Linked DNA regions of Elephas maximus indicus. The protein of the gene in region 2 binds, or shares a complex with, the protein of the main gene of each other region. Links are inferred from orthologs where the notes say so. Each region holds a gene or a part of one and is shown on either strand. Other genes may lie near its edges.

What was found. Proteins that work in one complex are often made in the same cells at the same time.
Region 1: LAMTOR4 (region 2) and LAMTOR2 share a complex: the UniProt entries of both Homo sapiens proteins name them as parts of the ragulator complex. The link is inferred for Elephas maximus indicus from reciprocal best matches to the Homo sapiens genes LAMTOR4 and LAMTOR2.

What each region holds. Positions count from the first base shown.
Region 1 is NC_064821.1:193,862,152-193,869,841, forward strand, and holds LAMTOR2 (ragulator complex protein LAMTOR2), read left to right. Parts: upstream 1-4,688; 5' UTR 4,689-4,777; coding exon 4,778-4,845; intron 4,846-5,123; coding exon 5,124-5,286; intron 5,287-7,053; coding exon 7,054-7,143; intron 7,144-7,414; coding exon 7,415-7,471; 3' UTR 7,472-7,597; downstream 7,598-7,690. Other genes in the region: UBQLN4 (ubiquilin-4), read right to left, coding at 396-658, 1,235-1,452, 1,840-1,991, 3,506-3,613. UniProt on the Homo sapiens protein: As part of the Ragulator complex it is involved in amino acid sensing and activation of mTORC1, a signaling complex promoting cell growth in response to growth factors, energy levels, and amino acids.
Region 2 is NC_064830.1:91,691,964-91,699,069, forward strand, and holds the start of LAMTOR4 (ragulator complex protein LAMTOR4), read left to right. Parts: upstream 1-4,092; 5' UTR 4,093-4,189; coding exon 4,190-4,192; intron 4,193-4,673; coding exon 4,674-4,754; intron 4,755-6,499; coding exon 6,500-6,617; intron 6,618-6,954; coding exon 6,955-7,052; 3' UTR 7,053-7,106. UniProt on the Homo sapiens protein: As part of the Ragulator complex it is involved in amino acid sensing and activation of mTORC1, a signaling complex promoting cell growth in response to growth factors, energy levels, and amino acids.

The DNA.
Region 1 (7,690 bases), on a different chromosome or scaffold from region 2:
CACTCTTATTTCCAGGCCTTTGCACTTGCTGTCCCTCTGCCCTTAACACTCTTCTCATTTTCTTCCCTTCGTTCATTGTTCTCCTCCTTTGGGTCTCAGCCTGGATGATACTTCTTCCAAGAGGCCTCCTGCCCTTCTCTGGGCTCCTAGGAGGATTCTGTGATTATCACTATAATAGCACCTACCACACTATATTATAATTGCCTGTTAACCTGTCCCACTTCCCGCCAAGAAAGCTAGGCCTGTGTCTTTTCGTCACTGTACCCCCACTGTTTAACCATGGCTGCTGAACGGATGAATAAACAAATTAATGTAGTACAAGGTAGGAAAAGGCTGGGCAGGGCAAGGCTGGGCTCCAGGTGTTCATCAACTACCTGACCTTCTCTTGTACCCACCTGCCTCATGAGCTCAGGATTGTTGAGCATATGGCTGATCTCAGGGTTCCGCTCCATCAGCTGCTGCATCTGGGGGTTGGCCATGATCATGTGGCGCATCAGGTCAGGGTTAGACATCATGTCCTGGACCAGGGGGTTCTCCATGATCTGCGACAGCATCTCAGGGTTGGACATCAGCTGCCTCTGCATCTGCTGCTGCAGCTCCATGAAGTTGGCAGAGCCCAGGCCCAGGCTGCCCAGCCCCAGGATGCCCCCAAAGCCAGCTGTGGGGAGGGGACAGGGTCACATTCTACTCAAGTGGCCTTTCCCCTACCTGGCCAAAGGTACTGAATACAGATCTCCAGGGTGGGCCCAATCTTTTCTCTGCTTCTCACAGCTCCCTTTTCCACTTACTCCCACAGCCTAGCCCTGATCCACGCGAAGAGCCATTAGACTGAGACCTCTTGGACTGCAGAGGCTTAGGCTACCCCAGAGCTGAGCACAGCACCTAGCAAAGAGCGGGCAATCAGTGACAGTCTAAGTAAATAAATATTCCCTATCCTGGCTCCTGCTGGGCCTATCATTTCTCCAAACTCACAGGTTCTTTTAATATCCTCACCCAGGGTTCCCCACGTCCCCAGCCCCATTTCTCCCCTCACTCTTAATACTTCCCCTCCTCCAGGAAGCCCTCACAGAGTAGTCTCCTCCCTGGTTTGGCTCAAATACCAGTGTTTAGAGCCCTGTGTCCAGGGGTCACCTACCCTATCAGACCAGGATCAGGGACCATATTTCTCCCTCCTCTTGACTCTCCCCAACTCCCAAACCAAAACAGCACTGTGTTCTCCTTTCTAGGGGCTTACAGAGTATGGATGCAGTTGCACTGGGGGGTCCCTCCCCAGCCCCTGGGGAGGGCCCCCCCCCACTGCTCCTCCGGCTTCCACTGCCAGCATCTGAAGTGGTGCTGCCAGAGGTGGAGGGCTGGGCAGGGGTGGCGGGTGAAGCAGGCATGGTGGAGGGTGCAGAGGCAGGGTCAGGAGTGGAGGGGGAAGAAGCAGTGGTAGCAGCCGGATCTTGAACCCTGAGGACAGAGAAAGGAGAATCCTGGTTGGAGTATACACCCCAAGAACAAGGAAGGCACCACAAAGATCAGACTGCTCTTTCTTGGCTGGGCAGTTACTACCCTAACTATGACCCTCAGGCAGGAAGAGGGAGGGGAAGGGGAGGTCAGTAAACTAGGGAGTGAGGGCGGAGCTAGTATTATCTGTCTTCAGGGCATTCTGGGAGGGGTAAATCAGGATCCCTTCGGAGGTGAGATTATAGCCTGCCTGAAAATTCATCCAGGAGCCACCTTCCCAGGCCTTGGCATAGGCCCTCTAGGTTCGGATGAGCTGATGGGTGAGAAAGCCTCAGATGTGGAAGTGAGAGGCCCAATCAGAAGCTGGGCCTGCTTATCTCCTGAACTTACTTCTGAGGGGTCTTGATGACCAGATGGACAGTGAGCCCATCCTTGATCCCATGCTGGTTCAGTGTGTCCCCATCCTTGAGGATCTTGCCGGCAAAGATCAAGACGAGCTGGTCCTGCTGGGCCTTAAACCTCCGGGAGATTTCCTCTTTGAACTGGGATCAAGAGACAGAGGTCCTTGTGGAGGGTGCCTGGGCTCCACCCACTAGGGACCCTGCCTCTTCTTTAAGAGCTTTTGCATTCCCTTGCTCCCACCTCTAGTCATGGGAAGTCCTTTCTTCAGTCTCAAGCTGCAATAAACAGCTCCTTTCTTACCCAAGGAGATGGATTATTGAGAGGCTCCTCTCTCAGTTCCATCCCAGGGTCTTCTACCCTAGAAAGTCCTTGCTGCTATCTGCCATCCCACCTCCAGTCTGTCCACCCAGCTTCCTGTGAGGGTGCTGCCTGGGCAGCCCTCCTCATCCCAATTCCTTAAACAGCCTTGGACCCAGACTGTCTTCCTTCAGTTTTTTCTTCTCAGACCTCAAGTTTCCCTCCTCCGCTTAGTCTCAGTTTCTGCTCAGTTCAGCGTTCCTGAACTACAACAAATAGATCCCAGTCATTGAATATTTACTACTCACCACTTAACCGTCTAAGTCCCATAAGATACGTACTAATGACTAGCTCCATTTTAGAGACGAGAAATTTGAGGATCAGCGAGGTTAAGTAATTTATCCTGAGCAGAATGGGAATTGGGCTTTGACCAGGCTCTTAACCGTTCAGACACACTGCCTCTCAATTGGAGCTGATTTCAAATTCAGCTGTGCAGGGAAAAGGATTTAAATTCTGGAATGGAGTGGTTTTATAAGGTTGGGAGGCAGTGGTGGCACCAAGGGCTGCCTGAGGGAGACCTAGAATCCCCAAACTCTATCAGCCCCTCCCACTAAAAAAAAAACACTCAAGTAAAAACAGTGCACTTGCTAAGCAAAGACAGTTAAGACTCCTCTTCCAACCAGAAAGCCTATCTTAAGCCCCGCCTATGTGAAATTTTGGAGCAGCCACTGGGGGTGAAGAACACAAGCGATATTCTATATTTCAACAATTGTTTATTGAGCACCTACTGCACACTGCGTAAAAACCTGAGGAGCTGAGAATCAAAAGAAATCACCTCAATTTGAGAGTAGAAAGGATCTGGGCAGAGGAAAATCCTCTCCCCACCGCCGCAGGTTTTCACCCAAAACGCTGGGAGTCCTGGGAGGCATACAGAAGGCGCCTGGCGCTCTCGGCTTGCGCCCTGGCCCCTTCTGGCTCAGCACCTTGCCGGTGCCCCCCGCTCAGCCTTGGCGCCTCGAACCCCGACTGGTCACCCGAGCGCACACTCCCCTCAAACCCAGGGTCATTCCCTTTTCCCGGTGCAAGGTGCCCCCTCTTCACTCTCCACCACGCCCCCAGCCCTGGCCACAAGGCAAACCCCGGGCCCCCCCCACGCGCGCGCGCCATGCTCCCCCGGATCTACCCTTTGCAGGGCGCCCCCTACCCGCCTCTCCTTCCTTCCCGCTCCTTGGGGTCCCTGCTGACCCCCTGCTCTTCTCTCCAGGGCCCTCCTGGTGGTCCCGACAGTCTCTCAGAGACCCCCACATCTCCTCACAGACCCCCCTCCTCCGCGCTCGGTCCCCGCCAGCCGTACTACCTCCTTGACCGAGGCTCGATCGCAGATCACAATTTCCTCCTTGTCCTTGGGGGTCTTGACGGTGACCCGAATGGGGGGCCTCGTCTCGGCCCCGCTCGGCTCCGCCATGCCGCCGCCGCCGCCGCCACCACCCGGCCGCCCGCCAGCCCGCCCCGGCTCCTCCTCCTCCTCTTCCCCGCCCGGCCGGTCCGGCTCGGCTCGGGCGCCTCCAACACTCCCCTCCCCTCCCCAAGGCTTCACCGCCCCCTCCGGACCAGCCGCAGCCACAGCGCCCCGGGCGGACCGGGGGGACCACTGCAGCGGGCCCGCCCAGGGCCAAGCCCCGGGTTCGGGAGCCTGGACAGGGCCTTGCAGGGTAGTAGCCCCTGGATGGGGCTCTGGGCGGGAGCGGGGCGTGTCCTTCACTCGCGGGGCGGGGAGCAGAGGGCGGGTTCCGGGCGAGAGACCACCGCCCACCCAAGCTGGCCCGAGCCGCGCCGCGGTCCAGTCTGGCCCAAGGCTGACCCCGCCCCCTCCGCGGGTAACTCCCGCTCCGGGACAAAGGACTTTCTGTGTCGCCGCTTTATCACTGTGCCCTGTGATAACTTGGCTTTTCCTGAGAGGCCCAGATCCCTTCCAGGCCTTCTCTTGCTCGATTTGGAGGTTGAATTTTTTCCCACCTCTGGACGTCCGCCTAGGGTCTCATATCTAGGATTGACCCTGTTCTCCCGAGGGTCGTGACCCGAATGAAGGACTGTTAAATACGGTGTCAGGGATCTGGCCTTTGCCTAGGTGGCTTTTCTGAGCCTAGGTTTCCTCAAGCTAATAATGCCTATAGCCTCATCCCACAGAATCGTGCATAAGATAGAAAACTGCTTTGGAAAGTAACCAAAGGTGTGCTTGACAAATACAGGGATTCTATTGTTATTATTATTGAATCGTGGGTTGCTAAGCGGACATGACGCCTTCTCTCTCTTCGAAGGGGTTAAATGTCCTTCCAGTACTTCCAAGGGCCTTTTACTCCCGCTCTTTTCCCCCATAACCTCGTGGACTGACTGGAAAGGCAAACTATAGTTCCCAGGGTGCCTCGCGAGGCAACAAGGAACTACAATTCCCAGAGCCCTCCGCGGTGGGAAGGAGTTAAAGCAGACCCACAATAGCCAGGCCAAGAAACTACAACTCCCAGGATGTTTCGGGGCAGGGGAGCTGGGCTACGGGGAGCGGCAGGCGGAGCCCAGCGGGAGGAAATCCAGGGTATCTGAGTGGAAAAGCCTTGGGTTAGGTGCTGCAGGCATGCTGCGCCCCAAGGCTTTGACCCAGGTGCTAAGCCAAGCCAACACTGGAGGCGTCCAGAGCACCCTGTGAGTGCGGACTGAGGACTTGAGCGGCGCGGGGCTCTCAAAGGGAGGGGTGGGGAAGGATCGCCTGGAAGGAAAGAGGCAGCAGTGGGCAGCATCTGGGGAAACCCGCCGGGAGAGGCTTTTCTAGAAAAGGGAAGCTGGCGTGCTGGGTGTTGGTGCAGGTTCCGGGACATACTCAGCCCAGACCCTTGCTTCCTAGAAGCGCCAGTTGCAGGAGTTGGGGTGGGAACTCAGGCGTTTTTTTCCCCTGCTCTAAGCACGTTGATATCCCTCGCCAGGCTGCTGAATAATGAGGGGTCGCTGCTAGCCTACTCGGGTTACGGAGACACGGACGCCCGGGTCACCGCGGCCATCGCGAGTAACATCTGGGCCGCCTATGACCGGAATGGGAACCAAGCGTTTAATGAAGACAATCTCAAATTCATTCTCATGGACTGCATGGTATGGAAAGGGGAGCCTGGCTTCCTCTATCCCCCAAGGGGATCCCCAGGGGGCTACCCAGACCCCATCCTGGATGGTTGGAGGGCCAGGAACAGGATCTCCAAGTCTTAAGAGGTGATCTGCAGCAGTATTTATAAGAGGCAGGACCTTATTCATTAAGTGGTGGTAAGGAAGGGGTTCTGGGCCAGAGGACTCACTGGGGTTCTGGTCTCAGCCAGCCACTTAAAAGTTGTGAGACCTTGGGTAAGTCATTTGACCTCTCTGAGCTTCCTCATCTTTAAGGTGAAAACAATAACACACATACCCTTGCCCAACTTACTGGGTTCTTTTGAAGATCAAATTAAAGAATGGATATAAACTACAGAGGGATGTGCAGACTCAAGGTGTTGTCATCCCAAGTTCACTGACTCACAAAACCATAAAGTTGTCAGGGTCTCCAGACCCTAGTAGAACCCTTTTAGTTTACAGAGAAAGGAAATGAAGTCCAGAAAGGGGAAGTGGCTGTTAAGACTGTGAACTCCATAGGAGCAGGGACTGTCTTACCTTTGTATCTCCTTATTCAACAAATATTTACTAAGTCTCTGCAGTGTTTGGGGGAATAGCAGGGAAGTAGTGAACAGGACAGACAAAAACCCCAGCCCTCAGGAAGTCAGTAAGTACGTTAGGTGGTGAAAATGCTATGGAGCAAAATAGTGTCAGAGACAATCTCACTAAAAAGGTAATATTTGATTGAAGATCTGAAGGAAGCTGGGAAGCAAGCCATGTGGCTATCTTGGGGAAGAACATTTCTGACAGAACAGCAAATGCAAAGGCCCTCAGGCAGAATATGCCTGGTCAAGGAACAACAAGGCTAATGGGATGGAGTGGCATGAGCATAGGTGAGTAGTAGGAGATGAGCCCCGGAAAGGCACCTGACTCCCAGCCCAGAGTGGGTATCTACTGAAGGTTTGCTGAACCAAATTAAATAGGCCCCAAGAGCGAACTCTCTAGGAAGGGTCTCCACTGTAGCTTGGCTACCTGCTTCATTCCTACCCTCTGAATGTCATTTCAGTTTAACAGGTGACCCCTAGGGTACCTAGTCCACAGCTAGTGCTATACGGCAATGATTGTCAAAACTTTTTTTTTAAACCACAACCTGGTCATAAAAAATACATTTTATGTCACAGCCTAGTACACACACTCACTGAAACAAAAGTTTCGGGAGATGGTACTTCCCTTACCACATGCAATGCTCTTCATTTCTCTTCCCTCCATTTTTTTTTTTCCCCATAAATGCGGATCAACCTTTTAAATAGATCTCTTAACCCTGTAGTCAAACTTGCAGTTTGCAAAGCATCACTAAGGGAAAAGAAGAGAAATATAAGTTGGGTTACTGCTCCCAACTCCCTCACAGTGTCTTGGGTTGAGCCCATAATAATAACATCTCCCATCTGGACAGCCCTTTGCAGATACAAACTCCTTAGTGTATACTGGCACCCCCACCAACTGGAGTGAGGTAGGGATTATAGAAAGAGAAACCAAGTTTTTGGGAGATTAAGTGAGTTTCCCAGAGCAACTTGGTTAAAAGATGGCTGTGCTGAGGCTAGAACGCAGGCTCAGGACCCCATGTCCAGGGCTATAGTCAAAGCCCCCCAGTTGAACCTCCTGCTGTACCCAGGGCGTGCAAGGAAAATAAGTCCCTCTAGGGCCAGAGGAGCCCTTTGGGAAGGAGGAGGCTGAGAGTGCCAAGCAGAGCATCGCATCCCATTATATCCCCTCCCCCACCAGGAGGGCCGAGTGGCCATCACCCGAGTGGCCAACCTTCTGCTTTGTATGTATGCCAAGGAGACCGTGGGCTTCGGAATGCTCAAGGCCAAGGTGTGTATGCGCCCATCACCCATCCCTCCACAACCCCGGGCCAAGCCTTCATGCTTTATCATCATGTCCATTCCCACCCTCACTACCTTTCTGGGGCCTTCCCATGTCCACCCAGTCCATGCCTGGTGTGGTCTAGCTCCCAGGAGCAGACTGAGGCTGAGGCTGAGACTGGGTGTTCAGAGCATATGGCATTGGGGGGTATAGGTCTTGGATCCCATATTGCTCTAGTGGAAGGCCAGGGTGGGACTGATAACTGTTCCCCCTCTTGCAGGCTCAGGCCTTGGTGCAGTACCTGGAGGAGCCCCTCACCCAGGTAGCGGCATCATGACAGCTATAGACGGAACCTGGGATCAGAAAAGAGAGATGACCATTTGGAGGGGCAGGGCCCCTTGGGAAAACCTGCCTGGGCTGTGGTGGGAGGATGAGACTTTGTTTTTCCAAGAATAAACTTAAACTCCTATCCTGTGTTTGGCTACTTTCTTGGGTGGGAGGGATGGGAGGAGGTGGGAAGAGCAGGGATCGCTAGTAGGATTCCTCATGTTCTTCA
Region 2 (7,106 bases):
CAGCGAGGCTATGTGCTGGTGGCGCTCTACCTGAGTAGTATGGCTCAACCTGTTGAGAAGTGGTGTGGGTGGCACATGGGGCTAGGTGGATGGGAGAAAGGAATGGAAAGAGGGGAAGGAGACAGAAGACACCAACAATCAGAGAAACAAATATAATAAATAAATAAAAAGAACAACAACAAAAAATATGATGGTGGTGGTGGTGGCAGTTGGAGATGGAGCAGAATTGGGTGGCAGCAAACTGATGTCTCTTTCACCAGGTAGCACAGCACAGCCCATCAGGAAGGGGTGCAGGGCCAAGGTGAGAGGGAATGGATGCAGAATTTGGAACAAACTCTTTCATATTCATATTGCTATTAGTAATTTCAGCACTGCCGGTACTACTACAATGATTTGCACCCATTAAGCTTGAGTATTCAACAGAAGAAGTCTCTACTAATTCATTACATTTTTAAAAGGAAGTTAATTTTGGACTTGTTTTTAGGGATTCACAAATCCTTTTCTTTCTATCATCTGTGAGCTTTCATTTTTGCACTCCACTTAGTTGTTGCCATTTCATTTTACCTGGATATAAAATTATGTCACTTTTGAAATTTGGTTCTAACACAGCAAATAAATATGAATAACTGACAATAAATAAAACTTATAAAACAAGTGAAATTTATATTTATTTATAAAATAAATTTTACATACGAATTTGGACATTAACACAAAAATTTATATTTGAAAATAGGTAAAACAATTGATTTGGAACATGTAATTTTGTTCTTCAGGTCTGAGTCAAAAGAAATAGTACTTACAAGGCAATAGGAAGTAATTTCATTCGTTTGTCATACAATGTTTGTTGGCAGGCCCTCTCCAGATCTCCACAAGTGTTTTTCCCCTTGAAATAACACTTAAAAACGTGCATGCTTACTTTTTCTACTTTGATGCTGCGTCTTCATGTTCATTGGACTACTACTGATACCCAACCAGGGCGAGAGCAATCGCAAAGAGCATGATACAACTACAAGGGTATGCTCAATCTGAAGAAGTGTTTTGGTTAACTTTGTGGGACTGGATACGTCATGAGTCACGTGATTATTGTGCGACTGACACGTTCTTATGTGGTCCACGAGAATTGAATATGGGGTTATACCCAATTGATGCGAAATGAAAAGAAAATATGATTGTTATTGTACACAAAATTTATAAAATGGTATCAATTTCATTTAGTGCACTGCCAGTTCCCTTCCACTGCAGCACTTGCTTTTCCTTGTGCCCTGTCTGCTTAGCATTACAGATCTTTGCTTTGGACAACTGGTACCCCTGTTTTGTTGATGCCCTAAGCACGTGCTTACCTTGCTTATTAGGTAATCCAACCCTGGTGCCACCCAGTGATTTTTAAGGCCAGGAAGGTCTTGTAAATTAAGTGTCTCCACGGAATTTTCTCTCTCTACATCCCCTTCCAGTTTAAATTTTATAATTTAAATTTAGATCTTCTCTCATTTTTGTAAAGGCATCCACCTTCTCTAATTAGCTGTTTCTCCTCAAGCAACAGTACTTATTTTTTTTATTGAGATATAATTTGCCATTTCAAAGTGTACAATTCAGTGGATTTTAGTATGTTCACTAGGCTATGCAACCATTACCAGTCTATAATCCCAGAACATTTTTATCACCTCCCAAAAAAGCCCTGTACCCATTAACAGTCACTCCCCATTCTCTGTCCCATCAATCCCTACCCATTGTTATCTAGTCAATTTTGACTCATAGCCACACTACAGGACAGAATAGAACTACCCCATAAGATTTCCAAGGCTATAAATCTTTGTGGAAGCAGACAGCCACTTCTTTTTCCCAAAGAGCAGTCACCAGCCCCTGGAAACCACTAATCTGCTTTCTGTCTCTATGTATTTGCTTATTCTGGGTATTTCGTATAAATGGAATCACATGGCTTCCTTTGTCTGGTTTCTTTCATTTAGCATGTTTTCAAGGTTCGACCACATTGTAGCATATATCAGTACTTCACTTCTTTTGTTGTTGTTATTGTTAGGTGCTGTCCAGTCAATTCCAACTCATAGCCACCCCATGTGACGAGTAGAACTGCCCCATAGGGTGTTCTTGGCTGTCATCTTTACTGAAGCAGATTGCCAGGTCTTTCTCCTTCAGAGCTGCTGAGTGGGTTTGAACTTCCAACCTTTATGGTTAGCAGTCGAGTGCTTAACCATTTGTACCGCCAGGGCTCCTTCCATTCTTTTCTCTCTCTCTTTTTTTTTAATTATCGTATTTAAATGAAGGTTTACAGAACAAACTTGCTTCTCATTAAGCAACTAGTACATATATTGTTTTGTGATGTTGGTTACCAACCCCACGACATGTCAACACTCTCCCTTCTTGACCTTGGGTTCCTTATTACCAGCTTTCGTGTCTCCTGCCTTCTAGTCCTTGCCTCTGGGTTGATGTGACCCTTTAGTCTTGTTTTGTTTTATGGGCCTGTCTAATCTTTGGCTGAAGGGTGAACCTCAGGATCCTTTCATTCTTTTTTATGGCTAAACAATATTCAATTGTATGCATATACCACATTTTATTTATTCTTTCATAAGTAAATGGCTATTTGGATTGCTTCTACTTTTTGGCTAGTATGAATAATGCTGCTATGAACACTCATGTGTAAGTTTTTGCGTGAACATGTTTTCAAATTCTCCTGAGATATACCTAAGAACAGAATTGCTGGGTCCTATGAGGAGCCCTAAGGAGTCCTCGTGGTGTAGTGGTTAAAGTGCTTTGCTGCTAACCAAAAGGTCAGTGATTCAAACCCACCAGCAGCTCTGAGGGAGAAAGATGTGGCAGTCTGCTTTCCTAAAGATTTACAGCCTTGGGAACCCTATGGGGCAGCTCTACTCTGTCCTATAGGTTCGCGTTGAGTCATAAACAACTGGAAGGCAGTAAGTTTGGTGTGGTTTGATGAGGAGCCCTCGTGGCACAATGGTTAAACATTTGGCTGATAAAACCAAAGGGTAAGTGGCTTGAGCCCGCCAACAAGTTCACGGGAGAAAATAACTGTCGATCTGCTCCCATAAAGATTATAGGCTAGGAAATCCTATGGGGGCAGTTCGACTCTGTCATATAGGGTCACTGTGAGTAGAATTCGACTCAGTGGGATGTAACAATATTATAATTATATTTTTAACATTTTGAGGAGTTGACAGACTGTTTTCCACAGTGGCTGCACCATTTTACATTCCCACCAGCAGTGTATGAAGGTTCCGATTTCTTTACAAGTACTTATTATCTCTGGAATTATCTTTATTTTACCTCACCAACACTGCCTTAGTCCCTTTAGTATTGCAGCAGCTCTGGAAAGTGTCTATTCCTATGTTTACACATATCTTGTGATAAAACCAAAACACCCGTTGCTGTTTAGTCCATTCCAACACATAGCGACCCTATAGCATAGAGTAGAACTGCCTCATAGGGTCTCCAAGGCTGTAAATCTTTGGAAGCAGACTGCCACATCTTTCTGCTGCAGAATGGCAGGTGGGTTTGAACAGCAAACTTTTGATTAGCAGCCAAGTATTTAACCAGTGCACCACCAGGGCTCCTAGCATTTTGTGATATATGAAGATACCTCGCTCCAAGGTCCTGTTACTAATTTTTCTGGGCAGAGAATATGCAGTATTTTCTGTTGGCTGTATGGGGCGGGGGGGCACCACTTTGAGCATCCCAGTTGCCTAGAGTAGGCATAAGAATACCATTTTGAATAGGTTTCAGAAGCATGATTTTATTTTATTATCTCCTTTTAGGGTGAAGAAATCTGAAACCCAATAAATGTTTTCGCTTCGGGTCGCACTCTAGGAAGCCAAACCCAGATTTTACCCCGTGAGCCCTCCTTCGCGCAATCTCAGCCCTACCCGCTCCAGGGCCTTCCCCGCTCCTCTAACCCCTACACACACTTCCCCCTCCTCCTGGCGTTCAAGCTCTGAGGGGCGGGATACGGGTGTTAAAGAGGGTACGTGACCAATCCGCGCGCGTCTTCGCAAAACGGCGCTTCTCACTGGTAGATTCGGTCTGATGATGTAGCCCATGCTCCAGTCATGCTGGGGGCGGGGCCGAAGTGCGGCGGCGCCGCGCAGGAAGCACGTGATCTGGGACTCGGTTAGGAAGCTGCCCCTCTGGTAGGGAGTGCCCCCAGCACCTAAAGCTTGCGATGGTGAGTGAGGACGCATGCGCGGGAGTACGCGCTGGGGGTTCCGCGTTCCAGTCCCCCAACCTTCTTGGTTGCCCCTTCCTGGGCCTGCACCCCACCTTCACCGCAAGCCACCCCGGGACTGGAAGAGTGGAGACGGGAGGGACTAAGGACAGAGAGTGCTGGAGGGGCGGGGCACGAGGGGAGTTGGAGGGTCTGATGTGAGGGACCAGTGGGGCTGTGAAGACATACTGGGGTATCACATCAAAGGTAGGATGTGAGAGGCCGAGGGAGCCCACGGGCAGAGGGAGATAGAGAGGACAGACGGAGGCACAGAAGGCAAGGGAAAGCTCAGTGTTTGAGGCCAGGTAGAGGGAAGGGTCCTGGCTGGGGAAGAGAAGGCCTGGGGGACTGTCATCAAGAGAGGGCCTTGGGTTTGCAGGTCACGGGTGTCGAGGGCCACCTTCCTGGCGTGCTTCTCACTGATTGCTCCTTTAACCACTAGACTTCTGCACTGACCCAGGGGCTGGAGCGAATCCCAGACCAGCTTGGCTACTTGGTGCTGAGTGAAGGCGCAGTGTTGGCGGTGCGTTCTGGGGAAGGGAGGGGATCCCCTAAGAACACATCGTCCATCATCTCTTACAGTATTGCCCATTTTACCCGAATTTGTCTCTATTCTTTGTTATCACCTAGTAGCACGCCTAGTGTATAGTAAGTTTCAGTAATCCGTCTCCAACTTTCCTGAGATAAAAGAGGCTTACTAACTCTATTAAGGGTCACAAGTTTGTTGGTAACTGATATTACCTGAGTTATTCTCAAGTATGTATTTGGTATTTATTGACTAGGCTTTGTATTTTGTTCCATAGTACAATATAGTGTTAGCTTTCTAGAAGTTTTCAATTTAGCTAAAGAAACAATGCTTAAAAGGTTAAAAGTTGAAAGCAGGGTGAGTGGTAAAGACTACTGATGAAATCAACCCTTCATGTTATATTATGTAATAACTTGTGTTATGGTAAGGAAACTGTCTTGGAGGTAGAAATCCAGGATGGGTAGTTGTGAAGAGGAAGAGAGTTCTTTGGGGCTGGGAAGTGGACATATTTGCAGGTGTGTGACACCAACCTGTCTGATTTGGTGGGTGTCACATGGAGAAGATTTGGAAAGGTTTGGGGGAAGAAAAGGATATTGTAAAGAAAGGACCAGATTGTGGAGGACTTTCAAAGCCAGATTTGTACATTTGGACTTAATCTTGAAGGTAGTAAGGAGCTATTGAAGGCTTTTGAACGGGAACACTACCTGATGAAATGCTTTAGCGAGATTTTTCTGTTAGCAGTGTGAAGATGGAGTAGGGGGTGATGAATTTTCAAGACTGGGCAGTAAACTAGGTATGAGACTGGGCTGGTGGCAATGAGGAGCGAGAAAATAAATTTAGAGGAGGAATGACTAGATATAGGTAATGGAGGAGATACTTCTCCATCTAGTAAGGCTTTGAACTCATAAACCTGGAAGAATGATGGTGCCTCAACAAACAGGAAATGAAGAAAGGAAGTTGATTGGGGAGGGTGGGAAGTACAGGGAATTCCATGTTTTGACTTTAAACATTGAGTTTGGTGTGGAATAACAGCAGTTAATGTAAATGGTAGGAGCTGTTCTAAGCATCTTGCCAATATTATTTAATCTTCATAATAAGTTTATAAGGTACTGTATTGTTCCCAGTTTGCAGATGAGAGAACTGGAGTATAGAATGTCCAAGGGAGCGAAGTGCAGTAAACTTAACTTAGTGGGAGGCCCATATCAAGGAGGTGGGAGAGGAAGTTGAGATAGTCACCAGAAAAAGAGGAAGCCCAGGCCACTGTCACAGCACTGACCCAAGGTCTGGGTAGTAGGGAGAGATGTCAGGACAAAGGGGATGGTTGTGCTCCAGATTCTGCAAACAGGGCAGTAAATGGGAAGACAGAAAAGACGGATCTTCTAACAATTCAGTGGTCATTTTCAGGGCTGAGTATTGGTTTTCGAGAATGTAGTTTTATCAAATACTTGGGGACAGGGAACAAAGTCAATTTCCAAGGGGCTAGGAAAGAATGGTCAGTAAAGAAATGGATGAAGAATCATCAGGGGAAGCCCAGTATTATAAGAATGAGAAATAGGATGACACAAAGAGGAAGCTATAACACCAAGGAAGGTTTTAGTTGTTTTTCCAGAACTGGGGTAACCTAGGAATCTTGCAAAGTGAAGAGGGAGAGGTTCCACACACTAGAGACAAAGTGACTGCCTGGAATTCCTTCCCAATTCTCTTCCCTCATTTCTGCCCTCCTCCCTCCCACCTGCGTGCAGTCGTCTGGGGATCTAGAGAATGACGAGCAGGCAGCCAGCGCCATTTCTGAGCTGGTCAGCACCGCTTGTGGTTTCCGGCTGCACCCGGGCATGAACATACCCTTCAAACGCCTGTCAGGTGAGCCCCCATCTCTGCCCTGGTGGTGTGGGGGGAAGGGGGCTTCTCCCAAAGGCTGCTGCTTCTCAGGGAAAAAAGACTATCTCCTACCAACTCTTCTGTCATCGCCTCCTGGGGTCGCTGGTTCTGGCCACTTTCTTCCCTTTGAGGTCCCCTCCCCTGGACCAGAGTTGATATGAGCAAGAAGGGGACTTATTGGAGGCCTCTCATCTTTTGAGCCTTGAACTATAGAATTTCTTTGGCTTTTGGTATCAGCCAACTTCTGTGATCCCATGGAGGCCATCGCACCACACTAACCCTGTGCTCCCTTCCCTCTCCTGGGGCGTCTCTCCTCCAGTGGTCTTTGGAGAACACACGCTGCTGGTGACCGTGTCAGGACAGAGGGTGTTTGTGGTGAAGAGGCAGAACCGAGGCCGGGAGCCCATTGACATCTGACCCTGCGAGAGGGGAGGGTCGGAGAATGTGGATTGGGTCCATGAGCCGCTTGCG